Linked DNA regions of Callithrix jacchus. The protein of the gene in region 1 binds, or shares a complex with, the protein of each later gene. Links are inferred from orthologs where the notes say so. Each region holds a gene or a part of one and is shown in the gene's direction. Other genes may lie near its edges. The genes, in order: TUBB4B, PACRG and CFAP107.

Region 1 (10,096 bases):
GGTTTCCACACAGGAAGGCTTGTCTGTCCGCCAGTGGTAACTGGACACCCGGGAGGGGGGGGCTCCTGCCACCTCTCGCCCAGAGCTTCCCACGGCCCCACCCCTGCACTCCCCCAAGGGAAGAAAGCTCTGGGTCACCCCAGACCTCCAGCTCTCTGTCAGGCACATACAAACAGGTGGGAGGAGGTGGCCCCATCAGGGACCGTTCTAGTTTGATCATTTCTTTTTTTTCCTCCTCCCTCCCTCCCAACCTTCCTTTCTTCTTTTGAAACAAGAGTTTTGCTCTTGTTGCCCAGGCTGGAGTGAAATGGTGAGATCTTTGCTCACCGCAACCTCTGCCTCCGGGTTCGAGCGATTCTCCTGCCTTGGCCTCCCGTTTGCAGGCATGTGGCACCATGCCAGGCTAATTTTGTATTTTTAGTAGAAGCGTGGTTTCTTCATGTTGGTCAGGCTGGTCTCAAACTCCCAACCTCAGGCAATCTGCCCACCTCAGCCTCCCAAAGTGCTGGGATTATAGGCGTGAGCTCATCTGAGTCTGCTGTTGTGACCCGTCACATCCTCCCATCAAGAACTGAAGCCCTGATGAGGGCACCTCTCTTCCCATCACCTCTGAGAGTTGCCCTGGTCAGACCCCACTAGGGGATAGGGAGGGGTGTAGCCAGTCAGGAAGATGAGGCCTGAGGGGCCCCACAGCCATTTCTCCAGTGGCTCTGTCCTTTCTGCACTCAGGTTCCCTCAGCCCCGCTCACATCTCCCAGGCCCTCTGCCCCCTTGGCCCCCAGTCTTCCCTGGGTCCTCTGCCCCAGCTGCCCGCCAAGCTCTTAGGCCTCCTAGTCCTGGGTTTCACCCACCGAGGGAGATGACCACTTGCTCTAGGAGGCGGGGGGGGGGGGGGAGGAGGGGGACTCAGGGGTGGGCTCCAGCGAGAACGGAACCCTTAGCAGCTAGAGCTTCAGTTCCCACAATCCTGTGATTCTAGGATGCCCTCTGGGCCTGACACCAGCTTTGTGGTGCCGACTGGCACCCCTGTAGGGGACAGGCCTGGCTGGCTCCCTGGGGAGACTGAGGGAGTACGGGGAGCTCCCCTACCCTTTGAGGGGAATCAGTGAGGCCCTTGTGGAGAAGGAAGAAGCGCCCATGCACCTGTCCTTCCAGGCAGGTGAGGCCTCCCACAAAAGCTAGCCTCCGGGTCCTTTAAGGCCGTCAACACTGTCTGCCTGATGCCCCCATCTGGCGGTAACACACCCTCCCGCTGGGACCATGGCCACCGGTAAACAGAGCCGTCACTGTGGATCCTCCGACAGCTGCAGGCCAAAGGAGGAGGGCGGCACTCCCCCAGCCCCGCCTGCGGCCCCTGCCCCGCCTGCCCCACTTCCCAGCTCTTCTGGCCCTCTTTGGACTGCATCCTACATGGCCACAGACCTCGGGCCCCAGCGGTTGATCCTCCTGTCCCACACTATCCCGCCTCTCCACCCTCCAGCAGGCCTAATTTATTCTTTTAAAAACATTACAAAAATACAGCCGGGCATGGTGGCTCACGCCTGTAATCCCAGCACTTTGGGAGGCCGCAGTGGGCAGATCACCTGAGGTCAGGAGTTCAAGACCAGTCTGACCAACATAGTGAAACCGACTCTACTAAAAATACAGAAATTAGCTGGTGTGGTTACTCTGGAGGCTAAGGCAGAAGAATCACTTGAACTTGTGAGGAAGAAGTTGCAGTGAACCAGCTGGGAGTGGTGGCTCACGCCTGTAATCCCAGCACTTTGGGAGGCCGAGGTGGGTGGATCACGAGGTCAAGAGATCCAGACCATCCTGGTTAACATGGTGAAACCCCGTCTCTACTAAAAATACAAAAATTTAGCTGGGCATGGTGGCACGTGCCTGCAATCCCAGCTACTCGGGAGGCTGAGGCAGGAGAATTGCCTGATCCCAGGAGGCGGAGGTTTCGGTGAGCCGAGATTGCGCCATTGCACTCCAGCCTGGGTAACAAGAGCGAAAGTCCGTCTCAAAAAAAAAAGAAGTTGCAGTGAACCGAGATGGTGCCACCACACTCCGGCTTGGTTACGAGAGCACAGCTCAGTCTCAAAAATAAATACAAATACAAATACTACAAAAACACAGCTGGGTGCAATGGCTCACATCTGTAATCACAGCACTCCAGGAGGCCAAGGTCAGGAGCTCAAGATAGGCCAACACAGTGAAACCCTGCCTCTACCAAAAACACAAAACACAAACAAGGCTGGGCACAGTGGCTCATGCCTGTAATCCCAGCACTTTGGAAGCCAAGTTGGGTGGATCACGAGGTCAGGAATTCAAGACCAGCCTAGCTAAGATGGTAAAATCCCATCTCTACTAAAAATACAAAAAAATTAGGCAGGGCATGGTGGCGGGAGCCTGTAATCCCAGCTACTTGGGAGGGTGAAGCAGAGAATTGCTGGAACCCAGGAGGCGGCCATTGCAGTGAGCCAAGATTTCGACACTGCATTCCAGCCTGGGCAACAGAGAGTCTGTCTAAAAATAAATTAAATAATTAGCCAGGCATGGCGGTGCACACCTATAGTCCCAGCTACTTGGGAGCTGAGGCAGGAGAATCGCTTGATCCCAGGAGGTGGAGGCTGCAGTGAGCCAAGACCACACGTTGCACTCCAGCCTGGGTGACAAGAGCAAAATTCCATCTCAAAAAAAAAAAAGGAAGGCCGGGCGCGGTGGCTCACGCCTATAATCCCAGCACTTTGGGAGGCCGAGGCAGGTGGATCATGAGGTCAAGAGATAGAGACCATCCTGGTCAACGAGGTGAAACCCCGTCTCTACTAAAAATACAAAAACTAGCTGGGCATGGTGGCGCGTGCCTGTAATCCCAGCTACTCGGAAGGGTGAGGCAGGAGAATTGCTTAAACCCAGAAGGTGGAGGTTGTGGTGAGCCGAGATCGTGCCATTGCACTCCAGTCTGGGCAACAACAGCAAAACTCCGTCTCAAAAAAAAAAAAAGAAAAGAAAAGAAAAAAGCTACAAAAATACAGAAGGCACAGTAGCTCTTGCCGGTAATCCCAGCACTTTGGGAGGCCGAGACGGTCAGATTACATGAGGTCAGGAATTTGAGACCAGCCTGGCCAACGTGGTGAAACCCCAGCTCTACCAAAATTACAAAAATTAGCGGCATGGTGGTGGGTGCCTGCAGTCCCAGCTACTGGGGAGGCTGAGGCAGGAGAATCTTTTGAACCTGGGGGGCCGAGATCGTGCCCCAAAATAACAATAATAAAATAAGCAAAATAAAAATGCTAGAAAAATACAGCGCATCTGTTTTCAAGCAGACTGATTAAAGGTGGGACCACACGCGATTCATAATTTTTCCTACCCAAGTAGAAATCAAGTCACAAACTGGGAAAAGCATTAACGGAAGTATCACTTAGCCCCAGCGCGCCGACCCGCGGTTGGAAGACCCGCCCTGGAGCCCGGGGCCACCTGCCGACGGAGAAGCTCGCGCATTCCGGGGGCAGAGGCTCCAAGGAGACCGGCGCAAGGCCAGCACCGTCTCCACAACAGAGCAGGGCGCGCGGCTGCGGGGAGGCCTCTGCCCTCCGCTCCCCTCCCCCCATGTGCTCCCTTCACCCGACCGCGAGGGCAGCGGGCGTGCGGGACGCGGCAACAGGAAGGCCCACGACCTCCGCGACTCTGCAGGGAGCTCCCCTCGGGGCCGCGGCCTCCGAGCCCGGGTATCTTCCGGCCTTGAAGGCACCGCAGCTTCCGCAGCCTGGAAGCCCTGGGCTCGCTCCGTGCGGACCCCGCTCCCGAACCCACCCGGCGCCCAGATGCCGTGTCCCGGGGCAAGGCCAGCGAGGGTGCAACACCGGACGCTGGGCCGCCGCAGGCTTGCCCTTCCCGGCTCCCGAACTGCGTTCCCGGGCTGCGAGCCAGGGCTGCGCCCGCCCCAAACCCGCCCGGCTCGCCCTCCCCCACCGCTCCCCGCGCAGCTGCCCGCCGCCCGACCGGAAGCCTGCGCCCGCGCCTGCGCCCCACCCCTCCGCGCGCCTCCCGCGGCACTGCGACGGTTACCAGGACGCTGACCCCGCGCAGCCAATAGCGCCAGCCTGACGGCGTGCTCCCGGGAACCAGCCAATGACAGAGCAAATCAATCATTTGAAACACCCAATGGACGGAGCACTGCAGCACCAGGTGGGGGGATTGTGATAGGGAGATCGGAGGCTGCGGCTGACCAATAAAGACCAAACGGGGTTAAAAAGGCGGACCTTAGGCAGGTTGATTGACAGGAATGCGACCAATCAAACGAGGGAGCTTTCCAGCCTCGTTCTGGCAGCCAAATCCGAGGCTGGCGGAGGCGGGCGCAGAGAGTATATAAGCATTGGCGGAGCGTCGGTTGTAGCAGTCTGCGCGCCTGCTTCTCCGCTTGTTTCGCTGTCTTTCTATTCTCGTCGCTGTCGCTGTCGCCGTCGCCGCCATCATGAGGGAGATAGTGCACCTGCAGGCCGGGCAGTGCGGCAACCAAATCGGCGCCAAGGTGAGCTGCCGGGGCGCTGGGGCCGGCGCGGGCCAGCCGGGCGAGGCGGCCGGGCGGCCCGGGAAGATGGCGGCAGCGGCGGGCGGCGCCCCCGCATTGCGGTCGCTGGGCCCTTGGCGCGGGGACCGGGCTGAGCCGGGCGGCCGGAGCCCCCAGGAACCTGGCGGCTGGGGCGCGTGGCGCAGGGGGAAGGGCGGGGAGGGCCGGGCTGCCGCGCCCGTCCGGGGCGGGGCTGCCTCCCTACACACCGGCCGCGGTGACTCAGCCCCGGGCCTCCCGGGCCCGCCCGCGTCCCTTGCAGTTCTGGGAGGTGATCAGCGATGAGCACGGCATTGACCCCACGGGCACCTACCACGGGGACAGCGACCTGCAGCTGGAGCGCATCAACGTGTACTATAACGAGGCCACCGGTGAGGCCCCAGCCCCTTCCCCGACCGCCCTCCCTGGACCCCGCGGTCCCTGCCCTGGCTGACGCCCTCCCGTCCCCGCAGGCGGCAAGTACGTGCCCCGCGCAGTACTCGTGGATCTGGAGCCCGGCACCATGGACTCCGTGCGCTCTGGGCCCTTCGGGCAGATCTTTCGGCCGGACAACTTCGTTTTCGGTGAGCCGCGGCTGGGAGCTGGGCGGCGGCTCAAAGGTCAAGGGGCGGCTGCAAGGGCACCGCGGTGGGAACTGCGCGGCCAGGGCCCCTGGATCCCTCCTTTCCTGAGCCGCTCAATCTCCTCTTCTAAATCGGCTTTGGGAGCAAGGTCCAGCTGTCTGCCGAGGCGAGGAGCCGCCGCCCACATAATCTCCCTGCAGGGAGCTGACCTGGGGGCAATGTCGGCTGCTCTGTCCTTGGAAATTGGCAGGGCTCCTGACTTCGTTTTGACCCGGCAGGCTGCCGATCTTTCGCTTTGAGGGTCCCTTTGCTCTACCTGCAGGGTGGATTCTGCGGTCAGCCCACACCACGTGCTTGGCTTTTTTCCCATGGTGTTTGTGACCAGTAGTGCTATCTACCTGGCTAACAAGTGACTAGCTGTGTTCTCTCTCAGGTCAGAGTGGTGCTGGGAACAACTGGGCCAAGGGGCACTACACGGAAGGCGCAGAGCTGGTGGACTCCGTGCTGGACGTTGTGCGGAAGGAGGCTGAGAGCTGTGACTGCCTGCAGGGTTTCCAACTGACCCACTCCTTGGGTGGGGGGACTGGGTCTGGGATGGGTACCCTCCTTATCAGCAAGATCCGGGAGGAGTACCCAGACAGGATCATGAACACGTTCAGTGTGGTGCCCTCCCCCAAGGTGTCAGACACGGTGGTGGAGCCCTACAATGCGACCCTCTCAGTCCACCAGCTTGTAGAGAACACAGACGAGACCTACTGCATCGATAACGAAGCTCTCTACGACATCTGCTTCAGAACCCTCAAGCTGACAACGCCTACCTACGGGGACCTGAACCACCTCGTGTCTGCCACCATGAGTGGGGTCACCACCTGCCTGCGCTTCCCAGGCCAGCTCAATGCTGATCTGCGCAAGCTGGCCGTGAACATGGTTCCGTTTCCCCGCCTGCACTTCTTCATGCCTGGCTTTGCCCCGCTGACCAGCCGGGGCAGCCAGCAGTACCGGGCCCTGACAGTGCCCGAGCTCACCCAGCAGATGTTTGATGCCAAGAACATGATGGCGGCCTGCGACCCCCGCCATGGCCGCTACCTGACGGTGGCCGCTGTGTTCAGGGGCCGCATGTCCATGAAGGAGGTGGATGAGCAAATGCTTAATGTCCAAAATAAGAATAGCAGCTACTTTGTTGAGTGGATCCCCAACAACGTGAAAACGGCTGTCTGTGACATCCCGCCTCGGGGGCTAAAAATGTCTGCCACCTTCATCGGCAACAGCACAGCCATCCAGGAGCTGTTCAAGCGAATCTCAGAGCAGTTCACCGCCATGTTCCGGCGCAAGGCCTTCCTGCACTGGTACACGGGTGAGGGCATGGACGAGATGGAGTTCACCGAGGCCGAGAGCAACATGAATGATCTGGTGTCCGAGTACCAGCAGTACCAGGATGCCACAGCTGAGGAGGAGGGCGAGTTTGAGGAGGAGGCAGAGGAGGAGGTGGCCTAGAGCCTCCAGTCACCAGGAAAGCAGGGAAGCGGTGTGAACTCTTTATTCACTCCCAGCCTATCTGGCTTGTCCCGCTGCGTGTGCACCTGCTGTTTTCCCTTTCATGCGCCATGCTGTACAGACAACACCATTAAAGCTGTTTCATAGTGTGTGGTCTCGCCGTGCCTGTTCCTTCCAGTAGGCCTTCCGGGTGCTGTTGCCAAACGTCAGCGCGTAGTTGTCCTGCATGGCTGTGGGGACCGAGGGTGCTGCTGAGCTGGGCTTTTCACATGCCAGGGACCAGCATAGGCTGGAAACTGGGCTTCAGAAGAGTGTGGGGCTGCTCTGGGCATCTGCTTCCTGAAGCAAGCCTGGCCTGTCCTGGGTACCAAACCTTAGGGGGCCAGGTGGCCTGAATCTGGGCATTATTAGGAGAGCCCAGTAACCCCCATCCAAAAGGGACAGAGAGAATGGCCAACAATCCTACCACAAGATGGAACCCAGGAACTGGCCAGACAGGTGGTTCCAAACCAGCAGTGAAGGGTGGACAGCTTGAGCCCCAGCCACCCCTCCCCACAATGGCCAGCATGTGTCTGTGTGACCCTGTCCTAAGAAGCTGGGCATGGGGTCCTGTACTCACAGGGGATGAACCCCATGTAGAAGGGGATCAGGCCTTGACTGCTGTAGATGTGGTTGTTAGGCCAGTGTGTTTCCAGAAGCTTCTCCCCCAGGTCACAGTGGGGGTTTCTGAACAGGAACTGGGAGACAGGCAGGTACTAAGGAGCTGCCTCCCCCAAGGGCAACCAGACCACACAGTGTCCCCCTGGTGGGGGCGGGGGCCGGCACTCCCCGTGGGAAAGCTGCTCATGCTCCCAGCCTCCTGCATCCCCACCCCACACTCCAAAACTTTAGTGCAGGGATCCAAGATTCAGGAGAGGGCGTTGGGGCGCCCCCTCTGCGTACAGGAGAGCCAGGCAGAGCCCCCTCCCCAGGCTTTGCAGGGAACCTGGCCTTCAAGGCCCCTCCAGGGAAGCTGCCAGACTGGAAGAAGTTGTGTGAGCTGGGAGCAGGTCTGGGACGGCGCTCTCCTACCTGGCTCTTGTCGAACTCGTCCATGGCCTGTGCGACGCCGTCTCGGTAATTTACCCCCATTACCCAGGAGAACCGGGGAATGAAGCCAGCATAGCCTGGGGTGGGCAGTTGTGCAGGTCCTACTCAGGCCCTTTGACCTTCCCCTGGCCATACCCACCTCCCCAGACGCATCAGGGAAGCCACGTAAGGCTCTCTTTCCTTTCCTGGATGTTGGCGACTGCCTGCTGTGGCCAAATGGGAAGAGGCAGGCAGGACAGCACCTCCTTCTGGGAAAAGCTGGACTCCTGGAAGCAGCAGGAAGCAGAGGAGGTCCCCCCAGCCTGCTAACCCATTCCAGAGCAGGAAAAGCGGCCCTTGTGGCAGCCTGACGGGCCCTCATTCCTGGAACCTTGTGGGGAGGGACGTCCTCGTCCAGCCCAGCCCTGCGCCCACCTGCGATGGCCTTGCGTTGGATTAGGTTGGGGTGGTCCAGCTGTGGCAGCCGCTGGAACCTGCACACATCTAGTGTCTCCTGCTGGTGAGTGTGGGGTGGGTACTCGTCCCTCCGGCAGTGGTACAGCTGCAGTGGGGAGGGCAGAGGTCGTCCTGCAGCTCCCATCCAGGGCCGAGCTGGAGTGCGCTTGGCACTGACCAGTGCATCCTGTACCTGCTGCTGCTGCCTTCGGGCCTCACAGACAGGGGCGGCGTTCCTCCAGGCCTCTTCCCTGAAGGCCAGCCGCAGGCCTGGGTATCCCGAGTCTCTGGAGTCCCCCTTCCTGCCTGGTGGGCACAGTGGGTGGGGGGGGTAGGGCATGACACCTGCAGGCAGCAGAAGGTGTCTGGGTATGTTCTCTACCCCTGGTGGCTCCTGGGCGTCCACATCCAGGGGTGGCAGCTGGCCTCGGATCTCAAAGTTCTTGTAGGGCTTCAGACCTGTAGACAGGGCAGCCTGTGAGTGCCGGGACAGGCGGGCGCGGGCAGGTGTGGGGCTGGGGATGGCAGCTCACTGGTGTAGTGGGGAACGTAGGGCTCAGTCAGGTCTCGGCAGGGAACCCAGGGAGGCCTGGACTGGCTGAAGTCCTCAATGAACTTGGGCTTGGACATGGGGGACAGCACAGAACAGGGGCTCTTCTGCACGCTGGGGTCTGTGAGCAGCTGGCCTGTGGTGCGCCCGTAGGTGTTCCCCACCTGGAAGCGCAGCTGCGGGTAGAAGCCGGCATAGCTGTGATGGGAGAGAGGAGGCAGGGCAGGGCTCAAGGGCAGCCCAGTGCTGCCCAGGGCCCATCAAGCCAGGCGGGGGTCCAGCCTGCCCACCACTGAGCAGCGGCTTGGCCCTCGGCAGGTCCCCTGCCCTCTGCTTATCTGCAAATGGGACTGCAGAGGCACTTGCCTTCTGGGGCTGTCGTAGTCTGAACAGGCAGTGCACAGCACATGCTGGGGACGAGTCAGCAGCACCACAGCAGATGGCTGCTGGCCTTGTACAGGCTACGACAGCCTTCCAACCCCTCCCAACCCTCATCCCAACGGCCAACGAGTCAGGGGTTCTCTGCCCTGGCAGAGCAAATTCAGGCGCAGGACATGTGGGCCAGGGCCTAGGCAAGGGGCGGCCCCCTGAACACAGGCTGGGCCCGCCAGGAGTGTGTGCGGTGGGCTCAGCCTGCCCCTGCCACCCCAGGAGGTCAGTGGTGTCTCACAAGGACCAGGGCTGGGGCTAGGCTTTTTGGGGCCTTCATTTGGCCCATGGGGCATGTTGCAGGTGGTGCAGGCGGTTCAGCTCCTCAGGGCCTGCATAATCACTGAAGGACTGAGAACTGCCTTTGTTTCAAAAATTGCCAACGGGCCGGAGCGGTGGCTCACACCTGTAATCCCAACACTTTGGGAGGCCTAGGCGGGCTGATCCTGTGAGGTCCGGAGTTCAAGACCAACCTGACCAACATGATGAAACTCTGTCTCTACTAAAAATACAAAATTAGCTGGCCATGGAGGCTCATGCCTATAATCCCAGCTACTCAGGAGGCTGAAGCAGGAGAATCACATGAACGGGGAAGCGGAGCTTGTGGTGAGCTGAGATCATGCCATTGCACTCCAGCCTGGGCAACAAGAGTGAAACTTCATCTCAAAAAAATAAAAAATAAATAAAGTATGAGTCACACCTATACAGTGGCTTACGCCTATAATTCCAGAACTTTGGGAGGCCAAGGCAGGTGGATCACGAAGTCAGGAGTTCTAGACCAATCTGGCCAACATAATGAAACCCCCTCTCTACTAAAAATACAAGAAAATGTAGCTGGGTGTAGTGGTGTGCACCTGTAATCCCAGCTACTCAGGAGGCTGAGGAAGGAGAATTGTGTGAACCCCAAAGGCGGAGGCTGCAATGAGCCCAGATCACATCATTGCACTCCAGCCCGGATGACAGGACGAGACTCCATCTCAA
Region 2 (10,174 bases), on another chromosome or scaffold:
ATATAACCATGCCCTCTAATATCTGCTGTTACTCAAATACCTAAATCCAGTTCTACGGAATGTTTAGAATAAACCACAAATATCACCACTAACATTCCATTTTAAACACAAAGAACTGCTTATTTTTTAAAAAGTCAACATATATTTTTAATAGCGGTACCAAAAATTACATTTTTATAAGTTGAATTATTTTAGGCATTTTTATTCTGTTTTATATTGTGCTGAAATCCTTCTCCACACTTTACAGAAGGCAAATGTATATATATTTTTTTCGAGACAGAGTTTCGCTCTCGTTACCCAGGCTGGAGCCCAATGCAGCGATCTCAGCTCACTGCAACCTCCACCTCCTGGGTTCAAGCGATTCTCCTGCCTCAGCCTCCCAAGTAGCTGGGATTACAGGCATGCACCACCACACCCAGCTAATTTTATATTTCAGTGGAGATGGGGTTCTCTATGTTGGTCAAGCTGGTCTCGAACTCAGGACCTCAGGTGATCTGCCCGCCCTGGCCTCCCAAAGTGCTGGGATTACAGATATGAGCCACCACGCCCAGCTCACAAAGGCACAATTTTTAACAGACTTTAACTAAATTATGTTTCTGTAGCTGCCTGGATCAGAATATTCAGTGTATCAATCATAATCCACGTGGGAAATGTAAGTATTTTTGAAACAGTCTTCATGCCAAGAAGAAAATCTTTGGTTTTGAGAAAGTCAACAGAAGGTACATTTCATTAGCAGTGAGGTCACAGTCAGTCCTGTTTATTCCTATTCTACCAGGAAATGCATCTTTATGTTTCACCTTAAAGTAAGCCAGAATTTAAATAAAGTGGAAGAGTATTATTTGCATTAAGGCGAGTTTAGCACTTAGAGAAAATGTAGATCTGAAAGGAGCAAGCTTCAAGAAAGCTCTTACCTTTAACAGAAAAACAATCACAGATACATACTATTTAGATTTTGATCTCCAACTGATCACTGGGTAAAGTCTACATTGTCTTTGCTGGCTCTGAATTATCTTCACAAACACACAAAATCCATCACTCCAGGGCTTCCTTTTAATCATTGTCACTTTCACCTACCTTTAGCACTGTTCTCCACACCTAAATCCCAAACCGGCCATTCAGATGTTTATTGAAATGTGTCTAATGAGGCTGGGTGCAGTGGCTCACGCCTGTACTCCCAGCATTTTGAAGGCCCAGGCAGGAGAACTGCTTGAACCCATGAGTTTGAGACCAGCCTGGGCAACACAATGAAACTCCATCTCTACAAAAACTTAAAAATTGGCAGGCATGGCACACACTTGTAGTCACAGCAACTCAGGAGGCTAAGACGGGAGGATGACTTGAGCCCAGGAATTGGAGGTTGCAGTGAGCTGTGATGGTGCCACTGCACTCCAGCCTGGGTGACAGAGCCAGACCGTCTCAAGAAAAGAAAGAAAAAAAAAAGAGGGACGGGTGTCTAATTTCAGAATTAGGCAATGCAATTAGTTGAATAAAATAATGTATTGCACACTGTCCACAATTTCTTATGTAATGTACATTTCCTAAGGAAGGCAGGCATGGATTTAGTCATTTATGTTCTAATGCACACTTACTTGCACTATTTAAAGCAACAGCTGGAGTCGGAGAAAACTTTTTTAAAACCAACCTTCTAGTCTCCAAGTCATTACTGGTAATTGATAACTGTTGAATCATCAGCTCCAAAGATCGTATTTCTTCCTTCTTGGAAGAAGAATTCCAGATAAAACTAAACAGAACTGCCCAAACATATTTCATCCTAATAAAGTTATTTATATAACTTATTAGGTAATAATTTATAACTGGGTAATGTTCTTTAGATTTTAAGTGCCTGTCTTCATATAGCTTTACAATAAGGTTGTTTCTCTTAAAATTATTTGTGCACTAGATTAAGTTGAATTAAAATAAAATGTGTTTAACTGTCTTCAAAATAAGACAGGCTATTTTCTTCCCGTAGACTACTGACAGCACGGATTCTGGAAAACCTCTTCTACTTGGTTTTCTGATTCAGTTCAGATTTGTGATTACAAGTCAATCTGACGTAGACGTCACCTAAAAAGAGCTCAGGAAAACTCATAAAATTTGTAATTTTTTCATAATTTGATAACCTTCAAGTCATTCACCAAAAGTCAGACCATGATAGAAAGGGAAGAAAAGCTGAAGAACATTCTTGTTTTACCACAGAGACAAAGACAATGCCAGTTACCTGACCTGAGTCTCCCACTAATGGGTAGCATGTTTACATTTTAACAATAACTTCATAAACAAAAGCAGATATGAGAAGTATTTTCAGTGCATAAAGATTAATATTTTATAAATCCACCTTTCATCTTTCTTCTGGACAGACCGCATCGGACTCCGAAAGTACTTACTGCAATCCAAAGTGTTTTGTAAGTGACACTCCTCAGGAATTAGCCCTAAACGAGCTCACCAAACCCTCCATACATTACGTGGAGAAACCTCCATAATAAGGACATCTCACATAGCATTGTTTTCTAAACATATGGTGCATTTCCATTAATGTTCAGGGTTAGCCCCTAAAGTAACTTTTGCCTTAACAACCCTGGAAGACAGGACCTTTGCTCATCTCACACTTCAAGTGTTCATGAACAACTCTGATAGCCACCAAGTTTCGTTTACAAAATTGCAGCTCGGTCATTCCGGGTTTTACCAAAAAAATCGTAATTTTGCAAAAGGCAGAAGATGTAATCTCGGCAATTATTTACTCTTAATTTTTCTTTCACCTCAGACCTTCAACGAGAGGTTGAAAAGGAAACATTCGAAGGGGCAAGAAGTTTAGATCCATCTGGAGGAGTTTCTGTGGAGCCCAACCATCCTCACCAGGTGCCTTCCATTAGAGTTTAATGCTTTGCTGGGGTTTCCTGAAAGAGCCCCACAGAGAGTGGGTCTCGATGGGTACTGAACCGCACGACCACCGCCGGCCAGGGGATGGAGGAAGGCGAGGGGGGACGGCGGCGGAGCGAGGGCTTCGGGACCCCGCACGGTCCGAGGGACCGCGAGCGAGGAGAGGGGATGCGGGGCCGACTGGCGTCCCCGGCGAGGCTGTCTTCTCGGTAACGCTCAGAGCGGGAGAGGACGGGGGGCGCTTGGAACACACACATTGGGGCCCCAGGCCGGCGTCAGTGAACTGGGGAGCCCAGCGGCGTGGGCCGGGGTAGGCACGGGCACTTTGGCTCCGTCATTGACAGTTGGCAACGGGGGTCCGGTCGGCCGAGGCGGGGCGTGGCGCCGAACCGGGACGCGGGGCGGCGCAGAGAGGCTGTACCTGGCAGGCACCCACGTACCTAGCATGGTCACTGGGCAGGTGGCTGTTGCGCGACAGACAGGGGGCCTACGCTCGCACGGGCAACCGCCCGCACCTGCCACCAGCGGCTCTCCCGAGTTAAATCGTCCAGGCCTCCCCGCCCCCGCGCCCGGCCCTAACAATGCGCACGCGCGGACGGTACGCGGCCCTGGGCCTGCTGGGAGTCGTAGTTTTAATGCGTAGTTTCTTCTCACGTCTCCTCCCCACGTCCCTACCACCGCCCTTTCCGGCTTCAGGCCCAGGAAGCTTACGTCACAGGGGAGGCGGGCAGAGCCCTGCGCCCACAGTGTTGACCAGTCGCTTAGCAACCGGGAGGCTTACCTTTGGAAGCTTGTTGCAGCTCTAGCCACGGTCCTGCCCTCTTCCCGCCCCGCCCCTCCCCTAAACTCCCTTCACCAAGGAGCTGCCAAACATCTGGATCAACCTGGGCACTACAAAGGGTTGAATTTCTACCATTAACGCGCCTTTTGACATTTTTTTCCCGACCTCCTGCTCACATCCGTAAAATCCACTGATTCTTTTACTACACTTTTTATGAGAACAAGATATTTTCTAGGAAGATGGTGGCAGAAAAAGAGACCCTGAGCTTAAACAAATGCCCAGACAAGATGCCGAAGAGGACTAAGCTGCTGGCACAACAGCCTCTCCCGGTGCACCAGCCTCACTCCCTGGTTTCTGAGGGCTTCACAGTCAAAGCCATGATGAAAAACTCAGTCGTAAGTGATCTTCCTGAATTAAATGCACTTGCTCCGAATCAGGGGACACGAGATTTACAGAGGTTGGCCAGCCATAGGATGGACTCTGAGCCCAAGCCCTGGGTGGTCTTTGCCAAAAATGGCAATTACTTGGCAAGTAGCAGACGGTATCCCACAGCGTGTGGAGGGCAGGCTAAGTTGTTAGAATCTTGGGCAAATGATGTACTCTGCCCATTTATAAGCACCTCCCCGATAGCTCACAGTTTGCGCTATTTACACCAGGAAAAAAATCCCCCTTACTTACTAATTCCTAACTATCCCTACTCAGCGAAGAGCCTTATAGTAGGTGAGTTCTTAGAAATCATAAACTCTTGCAAAATTTAACATGAGCTGATATACAACTGAGCTGATATAAACTCAAGTAATCTATAATAAGAAATTTCTTCTCTTCAACCTAGGAAATTTTAGAATACCCTAGCATTTACTTTTACACTTGGCTCTTACAAAATGATGTCAGCTTGTTAGAGTACTGGAAGCCAACTTAATATGAACACTGTTTCCTGATAGGCCTTTTTAGATGATGTGCTTTAAACAATACAAGCTTTAGCTCATTTATCTCTGCTACTAATACAATTCAAATTTGTCTCTATTATTTGTAGTAATAAAAATAAAATATCTTAGATATCATTAGAGAAAAAAGATTAAAAATACATACAGATATTTTAGCTATATACATGATAGTGTATTTTTTAAAAACCTTCCTATTTTTTAAATAGCTTTACACTTGGTATGCTGAGCCAGATTTTGCTACTTAGTAAGCACCTGTCTGGGAATGAGGCATTAAATAATAAATGCAGCTTTCAAATCGGTATAATTTACACCCTGGGAAGATCTGAGTTATTGCATGACAATTCATTATGTTAAATGAATAGTGTTGTTTTCCAGTGCATTATTTCTTTTGCTTGTATGTTGCAAACCTAATACCTTATTCCTGAACTACATACTTAAAATACATGAATGAAACAGATTACCTATAGACCCCTAGGCCAGATTTGCATGTGGCTGTGCAAAATGATATCCTAATTATTAGAAAATATGTCAGGTGATTTACAGTAGTTAAAATTCTTGGAAATAGACTAAATTTCTGCTTGTTGTAACTAATTCTTTTTCTCTGCTTGTTGTAACTAATTCTTTTTCATGGAATTTCACATAAATTGGTTCTCATAGGAGTCAAGATGACTCATTTATCAGCAATACCAAAACCATTCAAGTTAATCATTTAATTTTTCTTCTACACAATATTTACAATTTTGGTGTTTTTTTAATGTTATACTTTAATATCACAAGTATTTTTTAATGCTGGGTTCTCCTGTTTTTTCCTAAACCTGTCTTCATAATTTTTAGTTCTGCAAAATCTGATGTTACTGTATTGCCAAATGTAATATATATACCTACAAGACTTACAAAATTGATTATGAAGCAGCTTCTTTATAAACAACTTAGTTGAGATCCATTATCTTCTCTTTTTTTATTCTGAAGGAAAATCTCGTACTGGCAATACGTTTCTTGCCATTGGAAATTGTAATGCTTAAATGCGTACATTATTTATCCATTCATCTATTTATTCAGTCAACAATCCTCTCTCTCTATTTTCTTAATACCCAATACTTGCTAAGCACAGTTCTAAGGATTTAAGATCAGCAAAACAAAGTCTCTGCCCTTAGTACTCCAAGGAAAACCGAAGTAACAATCAAATCCTGCTAGAAGAAAGCTAGACAGTACTGTTTCTGTAAAATAACTTCAGTGGTACAGAAAATAAAAATTTTCAATTTCATAACCGATAATTACATTTCACCATATTTACCTTTAGCAGTATAGACTTTTCAGCACTGTAAAGTCAAAATATCCTCATCTCTTTCTGAAGGTGTATTTCTATTCAGGATATATAGGCCCATTTTTAGCTTTTCTTAATTGCAACCTCATGCCCCACAGCCTATACCCTCCAAACCGCTTTTCCAGTTAGATAAGTCACCTTCCAAAGCTCTTCCACCTAAAACGTGAAGAACTGAGTATATCCTATGGAGTTATACAGAGACTCCTGATATTTCTCTGAGCGCAATAGTGATACAAGTACATAAAGTTGGTCATAAATATGTTTCATCAAATGGGCCATGCAAGCAGAAATACTTATTTAAACAGTAAGTCTGAATATGAGTGTGCAAAATTATTGAAAAAGTAGTAAATGTAAATGGCAAATTTTTAAAAATCTCAATATCAACTATAGTTCTTCTATAGAAAGTAGACTCTGTTTCCATGAAATTTTTGTTGCATTCTTTAAGAAAACGAGCATCACAAAAGGCCTGCAATCAAATAATATTCAAATTCACATTTTTATAATGCTTACCTATAGATATAAAAGATATATAATTTGAAGATTTCTTATAGTTCATTTTCCTTTTAAAGGTCTTGTTTTGAGTGCAATAGAGCCCATGACCAGAGACTAGTAAGCCAGCATTGTGTGGTCTGTATCTTGCCAGGTGCTTTCTGTGCTAAACCAGCTTATCATGAGCAAATTCGAAAATCGACCCAAGTTTACAGTGACAGAGAAGTTGAATTCAGCCGAAGCTTGCTATTACAGCTTTCCTTCTCAGTAGACTATAGATGCTTTATGCTTAAAGTTTGGGGGAATGGAATAAATATTTTCTTTAATATTAAAGGTTGAGTATTCCTATTCCAAAAGTCTGAAACCTGAAATGGTCCAAAATATGAAAGTTTCTGAGTGCTGACCTTACACTAAAAGGAAATGCTATTTTGAGCATTTGGATTTCAGATTTTTAGAATTGGCATGACAACCAGTATATAATACAGATATAGTCAGCCCTTTGCATATATTCCGCCTCCATGGATTCAACTAACCTTGGATTGAAATGTTTGGGACAAAAATTTTATCTGTATTGAATATGTACAGACTTTTTATTTCTAATAATTATTCCCTAAACAATACAGCATAGCAGCTATTTACATAGTGTTCATATTGTTTTAGCTATTATAAGTAATATAGACATGATTTAAAGTATATGAGGAAATGTGTAGGTTATATACAAATACTATGCCATGTTATATCAGGGACTTGAGCATCTGCAGATTTTGGTATCTGCAGGAGTTCCTGGGAGCAATTCCTCATGGAGACTGAGGGATGACTGTATGCCAAATTTGAACAAAAAACAAAAACAAATCCAAAAGACTTCTGGTCCTAAGCGTTTCAGATAAGGGATAGTTCAAACTGTACTTTACAGTATAATGTGTTTTATATTTACCAGTCATATACTCATTTAACACATAGTGGTAATCATCAATGTTTATAAATTGTGTATTAAAATATTAATTTGGCTGCTTTAACAGAGACCAAATAACAATAGCTTAATTAAGATGGAAGTCGTTTCTGTCATAATAGAAGTTCAAGTTTGTAAGCAATCCCAGGAGGTTAGGCAGCATTTCCCCGTGAGGTAGGTGCAGGGGCATAGAAGCGTGTTTGTGCTTTGTATACTATAAAATGACACCTGAGACAAGCTGGGCTCAAGACCACGAGGGTCAGACACCTGCCCTCAGGAAGGAGGAAAGTGGAAGCAGAGAGCTTCCCATTATGGTCATGATCCAGACACAGCACCCCAGTTTCATTCTCGTCGAACTGGCCAGAACTTAGTGATACACCTACATGTTCCCTTTTGGCAAAATTGTACGAAAGCTTGACCCATGAAGCAACTCCCAGGTCCACATACCTGTCTCCTCAGGAAAAGGATGAAGAAAGCTACGTAGTTCCCAAAGGGCATCATCTCTAACACCTGCTTCAGGTAGGGGAGAGAAAAATGGGTACAGAGCAACCTGCAAGAATTAGGCAGGAAGAAATGAAGAGCAAGCAGCTTCATTATGAGGGCATGTCCCAGAAACAGCAATCTTCATTCCTGCTCAAATCCATTGCTAAAACCTAGTCTTACAGCCACAGCTAGTACAAGAGAGGCTGCGACATGCAGTCTTTAACTGGTAGCCCTGTGTCCAGTTCAAACTTGCAATGTTTTATTACTGTAGTGAAGGAATATTGGGGGATAACTAGAAGTGTCTAGGTCCGGTGCTAAATGTGCTATATTATTAGTGAAGAAAAAGAGAGAGACAAGTAAAATAATTACAATACAAATAAGTAGATATTTCTGGTAGAGAAGTACTAATGATGAAGGGACCACGTGGCAATAAACTAATGGGGTCTCTCATCACCTTTTGTCTAGGTTTGTACAATATCTTTCACCCATCAATTGGCTGACTCCCTCAATCAATTATCAGTACGATTACACTAATCTTTCCAGTACAGTGTTCTGCTCCTATCACTACTCAGAGCTTTTGGAGCTTCCCAGTTTTTTTTGTTTTTTTTTTTTTTTTTGAGACGGAGTTTCGCTGTTGTTACCCAGGCTGGAGTGCAATGGCGCGATCTCGGCTCACCGCAACCTCTGCCTCCTGGGTTCAGGCAATTCTCCTGCCTCTGCCTCCTGAGTAGCTGGGATTACAGGCACGCGCCACCGTGCCCAGCTAATTTTTTGTATTTTTAGTAAGACGGGATTTCACCATGTTGACCAGGATGGTCTCGATCTCTTGACCTCGTGATCCACCCGCCTCGGTCTCCCAAAGTGCTGGGATTATAGGCGTGAGCCACCGCGCCCGGCCCAGTAGCTTCCCAGTTCTTATAGAAAAATGTCATGATACTTCCCAAGGGCCAGCAATATCTTCTGTGATCTAATCCCATTCTGTGGTTTTAATTTTTTATTTTTTTTCTTTAAATTTTTAAAAAATATTTTATTGTATTTTAGGTTTTGGGGTACATGTGAAGAACATGCAGGATTGTTGCATAGGTAGATACATGGCAATGTGGTTTCTGCCTTCCTCCCCATCATCATTCTGGCATTTCTCCCCATGTTATCCCTCCCCCAACTCCCCACCCCCAACTGTCCCTCCCCTAGTTCCCCCTCACAGACCTCAGTGTGTGATGCTCCCCTCCCTGTATCCACATGTTGTCGTTGTTCAACACCCACCTATGAGTGAGAACATGCGGTGTTTGATTTTCTGTTCTTGTGTCACTTTGCTGAGAATGATGGTTTCCAGGTTCATCCATGTCCCTACAAAGGGTACAAACTCATCGTTTTTTATGGCTGCATAGTATTCCATGTCGTATATGTGCCACATTTTCCCGGTCCAGTCATCATCTCCCACTGTTCTCATTTGCTTCTGTCAATCTGAACCCAGGAAATAAACTCACATTCCTTATTTTTTGTGTTTCTGCGTATCTTGTTCCCTTTGCTTGAATGTCCTTCTCCCTCCATATCTCCATGTACAAATTCATTCTATCGTCAGGTAACACATATCTGTTGATCACTGACTATGTGCAAATGTTTTAAATGCTAGGAATTTAGTAGTCAGCAAAAGACAGAACACATGCTGTCAAGAAGCTTATATTTTTGTGGCCAGCAAAATGCCAGCTGCTTTAAGAAGACTTATTTAATTGTCCCTCCCTGTCACCCACATAGAAAGTTATCCTTTACTCATTGTGTTCTACTTTGTATTAAGGTCATTTCTGCTCATGTTTTATCTCCTTATGTAAATTCTCTATGAGGTCAGAATCCACATCTAAGTCATTTTTTAATCTTAGCCAGAATGTAACAGTGTACTCAATAAATACTTGATGAACGAAGGAAAGCAATTCTACCCTTTCTTCTTATCTCATATTCTCCCACTTTCTTATTGTTGTAATTGTTATTTGTCTCTATTTTGAATTTTTTAAAACCAGCATCTCTAATTATGGAGCCCAGAAGATCCCTTTAAAACTCGAGAAGGCTGAATCATGGCATTCTTCACCTCAATCACGAGGGTGGCTCCGTCTCACTCAGAGTAAAAGCTGAGGTTCCTACACTGGGAAGGCCCTGTGTGATCGGGCTTCCCTTGCTGCTTTATGCAAATCTTTTGGCACTGCCTCCTGAACTCATTTGGTGCCGCATCTTTGCCCTTCCTGTTTCCTCTGCCTGAAATGCATTTTCCCCTGTGTGTCATCATCTCTTGATGTTTCAAATTTCTGTTAAAAAATTATTTATTTAGTAAGTCC
Region 3 (10,174 bases), on another chromosome or scaffold:
CTTCGAAGTGAGATCCACAGAGGCTTGGAGACCCCAAGTCCCTTCCAAGGGGCCTGTGAGGTCAAAACAATTTTCATAATAATACTGAGATGTTATTTGCCTTTTTCCACAGTGCTGACTTTTTTTTTTTGAGACAGAGTTTCACTCTTGTCATCCAGGTTGGAGTACAATGGCATGATCTTTGCTCACTGCAGCCTCTGCCTCCTGGGTTCAAGCGATTCTCCAGCCTCAGCCTCCCGAGTAGTGGTGCACCACCACTCCCAGCTAAGTTTTGTATTATGGGTAGAGACAGGGTTTCACCATTTTGGGCACCTGTTCTCGAACTCCTGATCTCAGGTGATCCACCTGCCTCGGCCTCCCAAAGTGCTGGGATTACAGGTGTGAGCCACCGCACCTGGCCCACAGTACTGACTTCGATGGTGCAAAAGCATTTGTGGGTAAAATTGCTGGCACCTATGCGCAAATTAAGGTAGTGCCATTAACTGTATTAGTATCATTTATTCTTCACTGCCACATACTCACAGTTTAAACAAAAAAAAAGCAAGTTTGCTTGTGAACCGAGTTAATTAGCCGGGCTTTTTTTTTTTTTTTTTTTTTTAATGAAATACCATACTTACTTGACAGACCATGATTACCTGCAGACAAACCATGATTATTTAAATTTGAAATGTTTTATTTTGTTGTTGTTGTTTGTCTGTTTTTGAGACAGAGTCTTGCTCTGTCACTCAGGCTGGAGCGCTGGAGTGCGATCTTGGCTCACTGCAACCTCTGCCTCCCAGATTCAAGCTATTCTCCTGCCTCAGCCTCCCGATGAAATGTTTTCTTGAAAATAAATGAAGTAAGTCTGTCACTTCAAGGAAAACAATTGAGCTTAGTTGTTGCCAATAACAAAATTGTGTTGCCAATAACAGAACTAGAGCTAGAACTTTGGAAAACTTGCGCCCGCCACTGTGAGCTGGACAGCTTCCTAACAGTTCAGCGCTTTTCTGACGATGTCAGTAAAGATGTTAGCAGATGGGATTTTTTTTTGAGACAGGGTCTCGCTGTGTTGCCCAAGCTAGGTACAGTGGTGCAATCACTGCTTACTGCAGCCTCCACCTTCTGGGCTCAGGCCATCCTCCTACCTCACCTTCCCTAGTAGCTGGGACTACAGGTGTGCATCACCACGCCTGGCTAATTTCTGTATTTGTTTGTAGAGATGTGGTTTTGTCAGGTTGCCCAGGCTGATCTTCAACTCCTGAGCTCAAGTGATTGGCTGGCCTCAGCCTCCCAAAGTGGTGGTATTATAAGGTGTGAGCCACCGTATCCAGCAGCAAGTGTATTTTTTAAAATATGGTGTAGTTTGGAAGATCTACACAGCCTAATAGAGGAGTATTCTCCAGATGACCACCAAAATATATTTTAAATTTCTATTTTAATTTCTTTTTTTTTTTTTGAGACAGGATCTTTCTCTGTCACCCAGACTAGAGTGCAGTGGCATGATCACACCTCCCTGTAGCTTCAAACTCCTGGGCTCAAGGGATCCTCCCATCTCAGCCTCCCTAGTAGCTGGGACTACAGGTGAGCACCACCACACCTGGCTATTTTTTGTGTATAGATATATTTTTAAGAAATGGGGGTTTTACCATGTTGCCCGGGCTTATCTTGCAGACCTAAAGCCAGTTTCAGCCAGCTTATAGAGGCTGTGCAGAAACTCTCTTTGTGTCCTACAGTTCACCTTTGACATAAAGAGCCAAATTCCACCTCATTTAATATTAAAACCTGGCCCACAGTTTGCAAGCTGGTGTCACCAAGAAAGCTCTCCTACTATTTACCCACCCTGGCGGTCTTTTGAGTGACAATCGTGTACAAAACAGTCATAGCAGCCAGGGCTACATGCAACATGGGTGAATCTTTAAAACGTTCACAATATTGGGGAAAAGAAGCCAGACTTGAATAAACAGATACTATAGGATTCCATTTACATGCAATCCACAAACATGCAAAGCTATTTCATGTTTACGAAATATTGTTACGTACATGTGTACGAAACATGTTATGTACATGTTTTTTACGTAACATGTATGAAAGATGTTACGTACATGTTTTTCCACTGTGCATGTGCTCAGTTCCACTCATAAATATGTATAGCTTCCCCCCAAACCTGCTGAATATATATAAATACAGGCCTTGTGAAGCATGAAACCCAACCTGTCCTTCTTCTCTTGGAAGAGAGAATAGCTCTGATCCATGCTGGAGACTATCCGTCTGTGCGGTTTGCAAACTTCCATCACCATTAAAGCTCTTCTTTTTACTATTTAGCCATGCTGGCGGTCTTTTCCATGGCCATGATGAATAAAACATAGTAAACATGACAACATGCAAAATGCGTGAATCTTAAAAACATTAACTTGCCTGGGGAGATCAGACTCAATACTATAGGATTGCACTTGTATGAAAGTCCAGAAATAGGCAAAACTGAACATTATGGTTTAGGAGCATACTTCGGCATTAAGCATATAGAGAAAAGCAAGGAAATGATTGCTATGAAAGTCAAGACAGTGGTTTCCTTTAGGGGAGGAAAGGGTTGTGAGTGGGAGGGACATGTGGAGTACTCTGGGCGCACTGGCAATGTTTTCTTTTCTTTTTTGAGACGGAGTTTCGCTCTTGTTACCCAGGCTGGAGTGCAATGGCGTGATCTTGGCTCACCTCAACCTCCGCCCCCTGGGTTCAGGTAATTCTCCTGCCTCAGCCTCCTGAGTAGCTGGGATTACAGGCATGTGCCACCGTGCCCAGCTAATTTTTTGTAATTTTTAGTAGAGACAGGGTTTCACCATGTTGACCAGGATGGTCTCGATCTGTTGACCTCGTGATCCACCTGCCTCGGCCTCCCAAAGTGCTGGGATTACAGGCTTGAGCCACCGCGCCTGGCCAATGTTTTCTTTCTTGACCAACTCAGTGGTTTTTGTGGGGTTTTGCTATTCCATAATTCAATTATCTGTACATTTATTTATTTTCATTTATTTTTTGAGACGGAGTCTTGTTCTGTTGCCCAGGCTGGAATGCAGTGGTCTGATCTAGGCTCACTGCAATCTCTGCCTTCTGGGTTCAAGCAATTCTCCTGCATCAGCCTCCCGAGTAGTTGGGATTACAGGTGCACACCACCATGCCCAGCTAATTTTATGTATTTTTAGTAGAGTTGGGGTTTCACCATATTGGCCAGGTTGGTCTCAAACTCCTGACCTCGTGATCCACCCTCCTTGGTCTCCCAAAGTGCTGGGATTACAGGTGTGAGCCACCGCAGTCAGCCTGCACATTTATTTGTAATGTACTTTTTGATGTTTGTGTTTCACGTGAGGATGGAATTGAATTATGCCGAACACATGGCTCCTCTGCACGTTAATTAGAAGGACATCGCCTCTTCCTAGCTCCAGCCCTGCCCCCACTGTGGTCTCTGCTAATAAAGGTTTATTCTAATCTGCGGGACGTCTTTCATGGCCTTTTCCTGCCACAGGCTTAGTTTCAAGAAGGAACACGTAGTTTCCTGGAGTTCCAATATTTTTGTTTAAAGGCCATTGGAAACTTGCTCTGAATTTCTCTACTGCAGTAAATCCAGCCTCTTCATTTTTAGCAAGCAATACTACAGCACACAGGGTTTTGGTTATTTAACTTAACTATCTGTTATAGGCATCTTCCTAAATCAGCCTTTAAAACACTTGCCAAGTATTTCATTATATGGATATAGTACAATTTATTGAACCAGCCCTCTGTTGATGGATATCTTGGTGCTTTTTGACTTTTTTTTTTTCCTAATGAATGAGCAAGACAAAGACCCTTATTTCATTGGACTGAGCTCTGTGGAGATGGTGCCCAGGTCTGGTTGCTAATGCATTGCAGCTGCAGCTAAGCACCTGACATAGAATGTGAAATGATTGCGGAATGAATGAATGAAGACTGACCGAATGAACTGTATTATACCAATGCAGACACAAAGATAGAATTCTTTATGCAAGCCCCTGAAAAGTAGCAGACAGGAAATGAAGGGATCCCAGTGGTTTAGGTCTGAACCAGAGTGGATTTAAATCTCTGTGTGGAATTTAAATCTCATCACAACCGCATGACGTTAGGCAGTGACTTAATCTCTTTGCTTCGGCGTACTCGTTAGTAAAATGGGTATAACAGTGGCATCTGTCTCAGAAGGCGGCTGTGAGGATTAAACAGGTGAATGAATGTACATAAATGTCTTTGCTTGGAGCAAGCAAATGAATTAACATTCGTTAAATAGTAGCAGAATCTAACTCATCCCAATTGTAAAAGTGTAGCAAAGATGATGCTGGTATTATAGTGATAACACAGAAACCAGGTTCTTCCGGAGGCTGCCTTTGTGGTGGTGGTTGGTTTGATTTATTTTTGCAAGCTCAATTTTGCTTCTGCAGAATCAGCTGTTCTGTTACAGAGATTATTTATACCCAGAGTCTGTCACCATGGAGATAGTCAACAGTAGAGAATCCAAGATAGATCACCTCTCTCTAGAGGCTGAAAGTGAACCCTTGGGGCCGTTGTATTTTCTGAGGTTAGCAGGGAGCCATCAGGAGGCCAGCTGGGAAGACAAAAAAAAGGCACCCCAAACTCAGCAACTTCATAACACCTTCCTCTCTCCCTAAAACCTTAAACTGTGTCAAGTCAAAGAAACCTGGGGCAAATCCTTATCATGTTTTTCACTGCAGTAAATCCACAACCAGTCTCTACTCCAAGCTGGCAGATCGAGACCAAGTATTCAACAAGAGTGCTCACTGGAAACTGGGTGGAAGAGAGGAGAAAGGTAAGGAAACGAGAGATGTTGGGCAGAGGGCTCAGAGGAAGGACTGATGGGGAGAGGCGGGAGTGAAGTCCATCACTGTTTTCAGATGGAGGGCAGCAGATGATTGCATCTTAAAAATGTGGCATTGGAGTCTTCGTGCTGTACAAAGGATAGTTATATTCAAGCAACCATCAAGTTCCCTACTCTATCTTTAGAATACTGTAGCAGGGTGTCAATATAGTTGTGCTTCTCAGCACTATTCTCAGTGAAGTGTTTCTAGGCATCTATATACGTGCTGTCCCTAATTCTTTTGTACCTTGATGTGAAGAACATTTGCTCTCCTTATCCTGGCCCTTCCCAGAATGTGGTACCTCCTCAGGCCAGCTTGGCATTCTCTGCACTGATGTCCAGGGATGTGCTTGCTGCTCTCTGGCACCTTTCCACAATCTTGCCCTACCAATGCATTTCAATTTTTACCTTCTTTCTTTTTTTTTTTGTTTTGAGACAGAGTCTCGCTCTGTTGCCCAGGCTGAAGTGCAGTGGGATAATCTTGGCTCACTGCAACCTATGTCTCCCGGGCTCAAGCAATTCTCCTGCCTCAGTCTCTCGAGTAACTATAGATGCACGCCACCACACCTGGCTAAATTTTTGTATTTATAGTAGAGATGGGGTTTCACCATGTGGCCAGGCTGGTTTCAAATTTCTGACCTCAAATGATTTGCCTGCCTTGGCCCCCCAAAGTGTTGGGATTATAGGTGTGAGCCACCATGCCCAGCCAATTTTTGCTTTCAAACAGAACAATTAGGCTCTTGGTTTTCCTCTGTGTTATAAAGGTCTTTGGAAAACACCTTGCCTGAGTTGGCAAAGTTTCAAGATGATGTACTTGAAATTGAATATCTTCATTCGTGTTTGGCAAGACTAAGCCATTTAAGTTTTTCAAAGGCATCTACACTTCTCCATGTCTTCTTGGAAAGTGAGCAAGGAAAAGAAGGTGAAATAGAATTGTCAGCTTTGGTATGGAGAAAAGAAGGAAAGTTTAAAGTCTGTTTTTATGGAGAATGTTAGTAATCACCACCTCTCTGGCCAGATACAACCTTTGTTCATCATCAGCAACAACTGTACTTGGCCTTGTTTGGGGAGCAGGTATGTGCAAGAAAAATTCCAAAAGCAAAAAGGACTGGTCAAAAATACCTTCAGGTGCCCATGGGTGATGCACTACTCAGGGACATTATGGGCTGGTCTCACACCTAAGAAGTGAGACTAAGCCACTGAGAAGCTCCAGGTTCTCATTCCCCATGGAAACATTAAAGAAAAAACGTGAAAACGTTATAGGAGCTCTGGAAAACAGTCAAAGATACACAGCAGCCAGCCAAATGCCCAATCAAGAAAAAGGCACATTCAGAATGATAGGAAATTCCATGATGTTTTTACTTACTCTTTTCCCACTACCTCCCCAGCACAGCACAGCATAGTCTGCATTTTAGGGCAAGTGGCAGCTCAGCTCCAAGCTCCCTCTTTCAAATCAGAGTGGGTGGAGCAACATTTGAAACTGTCTGGGGCTGCCTGAGGGATTGCTATTTCATCTGACTTGGAGCTCAGATGGGAGAAGGTGGCATGGTTCAGATCTCAGGCTGGGAAAAGCCATGGAAAGCAATGACAGGCACAGCTAGTGAAAGCTGCCAGGGGATTACAAACCTATAAATACCTGGGGCCAGAGACTATGGGTAGAGGAATACAATAGAACATCTGAAGTCCAAGAAGAAGCAGGGGTGAGACTTTTTCTTGGAAATTAAAACATTTAAAGGCAGCTGTGTATATGGGGGAATTTTAAAAAGCATACCCAGGTCCAGGCAAGATGTACACCAGGCTTGAGAATGCTTTAAGCCTTCATGTTGGGCTGACCCCAAGACTCAGAACATTACCTGCTGGTTAGAAAAGATCTTCCTTTGCAGAGACAGTCTACAGAGACTGGAAGAGTTGGCTGTTTTTCAAATGCCCAATTTTCAACAACAACAAAAAAAACCCCAGACATACAAAGAAATAGAAAAAAAAATGGCTCATCCAAAGGAAGAAAATCAATGGGAGAAGACTTTAAAACAGCTGACTTAAATATGGACAAGTAGCTAAAGGACACAAAGAACCAAAGTAAATAAGGAAAACAATACATGAACAAAATGAGACTATCAAAAAGGAGATTGAAATTTTAAAAAGGAGTCAAACAAGTTTTAAAGCTGAAAAATGCAATAACTAAATTGAAAAATTCAATAGAGGGATTTGACAGCAGATTTGAATAGGCAGGAGCAAGAATCAGCAAATTTAAAGGCAGTGAACAGAGCCTATAGGTCTTATGGGACACTATCAAGCATATTAATATATGCATTAAGGGGATTCCATAAGGAGAAGAGAGAAAAGGGCCAAGAGAGTATTTGAAAAAATAATGAATGAAATATTCCCAAATTTCAGTAAATACATAGATCTACATATCCAAGAAATTCAATGAACTCCAAGTAGGAAAAAATCTAAAGAGACCCTCATTGAAACACTTTATAATTAAAATATTGAAACCCAAAAACAAAGAGAGAATCTTGAGAGCACCATGAGAAAAGTAACTCATCAAGAACAATGGATCCTCAGCAAGATTATTAGGGAATTGGCCAGATGTGGTGGCTCATGCCTGAATCTCAGCACTTTAGGCAGATAAGGCAGGTGGATTGCTTGAGCCTGGAGTTCAAGATCAGCTGGGCAACATGGTAAAACCCCATCTCTACAAAAGATAAAAATTAGCTGGGCACATGGTATATTCCTGTAGTTCCAGCTACTCAGGAGACTTAGGTGGGAGGATCACCTGAGCCTGAGAGGTGGAGTTTGCAGTGAGCCAAAATCATGCCACTGCACTCCAGCCTGGGTGACAGAGTGAGAGTAAAGCCCTGTCTCAAAAAAAAAAAATAATAAATAATAAAAAAGATAATTAGGGAATTTTCTCAGCAGAAACCCTGGAGCCTGGAAGGCCATGGGATAATATATTTGAAGTGCTGATAAAAAAAATACTGTTATCTGATATTTCTGTATTCCACAAAACTGTCTTTTAAAAATGAGGGAAAAGTTAAGCCATTCCCAGATAAACAAAAGCTGAGGGTGTTTATTGACAGTAGACCTAACTTGCAAGGAAGGATTCTCAAAGACAATCCTTGAAGTTGAAATGAAAGGTCATTAGACAGTAACTTGAAGTCATACAAAAATATAAACTTCTCCAGGAAAGGTAAATATGTAGACAAGCATAAAAGCCAGAGTTATTATAATTTTGGAATATAACTCCACTCCTTATTTTTGACAGAATTTAGAAGACGAGTGCATAAAATTATAAATCTATGTAAATGAGTATGCATTATGTAAAGATGTAATTTGTGACTTCAATAACATAAAGCAGAGGGAGGCAGGGCTATAAAAAGAGTAGAGTTTTGGTATGCAATTTAAGTTGGTCACAATTTTTTTTTTAAAAGATGGGGTTTCACCACAATGGCCAGGCTGGTCTTGAACTCCTGACCTCAGGTGATCCACCCACCTCGGCCTCCCAAAGTGCTAGGATTGCAGGCATGAGCCACCGCACCCGGCCAAGTTGGTCACAATTTAAAATATGTTGTTATAACTGTAGAACATTGTATATTATCCCCATGGTAACCACAAAGAAAATGCCTATCAAATATTCACAAAAGAAATAATAAGGGAATCAAAATGTGCCCCTCAAAAATAAAACACAAAAGAAGACAGTAAGAGCAAATAAGGGAGAAAAATCTACAAGACATACAGAAAACAAATACTAAAATGGCAAAAGTAAGTCCTTCCCTATCAGTAATCACTTTTAAATGTAAATGAATTAAACTTCCCAATAAAAGGCAAACATTAGCAGAGAGTTTACAAAACAGGATCCAACCATATGCTGCCTGCAAGAGACTGACTATAGATGGAAGTACACGTGTAAGTTGAAAGTGAAAGGAAGCAGAGATATTTTGCGCAATTAGAGCCAGAAAGGAGTAGGTAGGGCTTGTATCAGACAAAGTAGGCTTTAAGTTAAAAACCATTGTGAGACAAAGAGAGACGTTATCTATTGATAAAAGGGCCAATTCACCAAGAAGGTATAATAATACACATGTATATACACCAAATATTAGAGCTCTGAAATGTATGAAGCAAAAATGGACAGAATTGAAGGGAGAAATAGATGACTCTACAATAATAGTAGGGTACTTCAATACCCCACTTTTAATACTGGATAAAAAAATACAGAAGATCAAGAAGAAAATTGAGGACTTGAACAACCCTATGGACCAACTGGATCTGACAGATACTCCTCCTACCAAGACATAATACATGTTTTTGTTGTTGGTGGTGTTTTGCTTTCTCTCAAGTGCATATGGAATATTCTCCAGGATACACCATATGTTACACTACAAAACAAGTTTTAGTAAATTATAAAGATTAAAATCATACAAAGTATCTTTTCTGATCACAAATGAAATGAACCTAAAAATCAATAGCAGAAGAAATACTGAAAAATCCACAAATACGTGGAAATTAAACAACACACTGTTAAAAAAAATCAGTAAAGAAAAAAAATCACACAAAAATTAGAAAATATCTTGAGACAAATGATAATGAAAATACAACATACCAAAACTTATGGGATGCAGGGAAAATGCTGTTAAGAGGGAAATTTACAGCTGTCAGCTCATTAAAAAAGAAGAAATACCTCAAATTAACAACCTAACTTTACCCTTTAAGGAAATAGAAAAAAAAAAGAACAAATAAGATGCAAAGCTAACAGAAGGAAGGAAATTGGAGAAGAGATAAGTAAAATAGGAAATAGAAAAACAACAGAAAAAAATCAACAAAACTGAGTTGGGGTCAGGCATGGTGGCTCACGCCTATAATCCTAGCACTTTGGGAGGCCGAGGCAGGTGGATCATCTGAGGTAAGGAGTTCAAGACCAGCCTGGCCGCATAGTGAAACTCAGTCTCTACTAAAAATACAAAAATTAGCCGGGCCTCATGGTGCATGCCTGTAATCCCAGCTATTCAGGTGGCTGAGGCAGGAGAATTGCTTGAACCTGGGAGGTGGAGGTTTCAGTGAGCCAAGATTATACCACTGCACTGCAGCCTAGGTAATAGAGTGAGACTCCATCTCAAAACAAACAAACAAGCAAACAGAATCCTAGTTGGTTTTTTGAAAAGATCAATAAAATGTACAAATCTTTATCTATATTGACTAAAGAAAAAAAAGAGAATAGATGCAAGTAACTAAAATTAGAAATGAAAAGTGTAAAAGAACTACCAACTTTTGGTCAGGTGTGGTGGCTCACGCCTGTAATCCAAGCACTTTGGAGGCCAAGGCGGGTGG

Evidence for each region.
Region 2: the proteins of TUBB4B (region 1) and PACRG are in contact, whole or in part, in a cryo-EM structure (PDB 7UNG), measured with the Homo sapiens proteins. The link is inferred for Callithrix jacchus from reciprocal best matches to the Homo sapiens genes TUBB4B and PACRG. Residues at the interface, in NP_006079.1 of Homo sapiens: Glu194, Phe260, Pro261, Arg262, Gln291, Phe294, Asp295, Ala296, Arg306, His307, Gly308, Arg309, Tyr310, Val333, Lys336, Asn337, Ser339, Tyr340, Phe341, Gln375, Ser413, Asn414, Asp417, Ser420, Gln423, Gln424, Tyr425, Gln426, Asp427, Glu432; in NP_689623.2 of Homo sapiens: Glu40, Gly41, Phe42, Thr43, Val44, Ala46, Met47, Met48, Val53, Arg54, Gly55, Pro56, Pro57, Ala58, Ala59, Gly60, Ala61, Phe62, Arg65, Lys154, Arg160, Arg162, Arg191, Gln192, Pro195, Asn198, Ile199, Phe200, Asn202, Met203.
Region 3: the proteins of TUBB4B (region 1) and CFAP107 are in contact, whole or in part, in a cryo-EM structure (PDB 9CPB), measured with the Bos taurus proteins. The link is inferred for Callithrix jacchus from reciprocal best matches to the Homo sapiens genes TUBB4B and CFAP107. Residues at the interface, in NP_001029835.1 of Bos taurus: Lys19, Glu22, Asp26, Tyr36, Asp39, Ser40, Asp41, Leu42, Gln43, Leu44, Glu45, Glu53, Gly56, Gly57, Tyr59, Pro80, Leu215, Leu217, Thr219, Thr221, Tyr222, Gly223, Asp224, His227, Leu228, Ala231, Gly244, Gln245, Phe270, Pro272; in NP_001033296.1 of Bos taurus: Thr74, Val75, Glu76, Gly77, Leu78, Tyr80, Lys81, Leu83, Ile84, Thr85, His86, His87, Gln88, Glu89, Gln92, Arg93, Tyr94, Leu95, Ile96, Ser97, Thr98, Asp101, His102, Pro133, Pro138, Thr139, Asn140, Tyr141, Leu143, Tyr144.

Annotation. Positions count from the first base shown.
Region 1 is NC_133502.1:185,645,418-185,655,513, forward strand, and holds TUBB4B (tubulin beta-4B chain), read left to right. Parts: upstream 1-4,382; 5' UTR 4,383-4,459; coding exon 4,460-4,516; intron 4,517-4,817; coding exon 4,818-4,926; intron 4,927-5,007; coding exon 5,008-5,118; intron 5,119-5,551; coding exon 5,552-6,612; 3' UTR 6,613-6,753; downstream 6,754-10,096. Other genes in the region: CIMIP2A (ciliary microtubule inner protein 2A), read right to left, coding at 6,754-6,842, 7,232-7,349, 7,684-7,778, 8,116-8,242, 8,330-8,595, 8,670-8,884. UniProt on the Homo sapiens protein: Tubulin is the major constituent of microtubules, a cylinder consisting of laterally associated linear protofilaments composed of alpha- and beta-tubulin heterodimers.
Region 2 is NC_133505.1:169,263,945-169,274,118, forward strand, and holds the start of PACRG (parkin coregulated gene protein), read left to right. Parts: upstream 1-3,606; 5' UTR 3,607-3,897; coding exon 3,898-4,053; intron 4,054-10,174. UniProt on the Homo sapiens protein: Microtubule inner protein (MIP) part of the dynein-decorated doublet microtubules (DMTs) in cilia axoneme, which is required for motile cilia beating. Suppresses cell death induced by accumulation of unfolded Pael receptor (Pael-R, a substrate of Parkin).
Region 3 is NC_133508.1:50,638,525-50,648,698, forward strand, and holds the start of CFAP107 (cilia- and flagella-associated protein 107), read left to right. Parts: upstream 1-4,471; 5' UTR 4,472-4,690; coding exon 4,691-4,801; intron 4,802-10,174. UniProt on the Homo sapiens protein: Microtubule inner protein (MIP) part of the dynein-decorated doublet microtubules (DMTs) in cilia axoneme, which is required for motile cilia beating.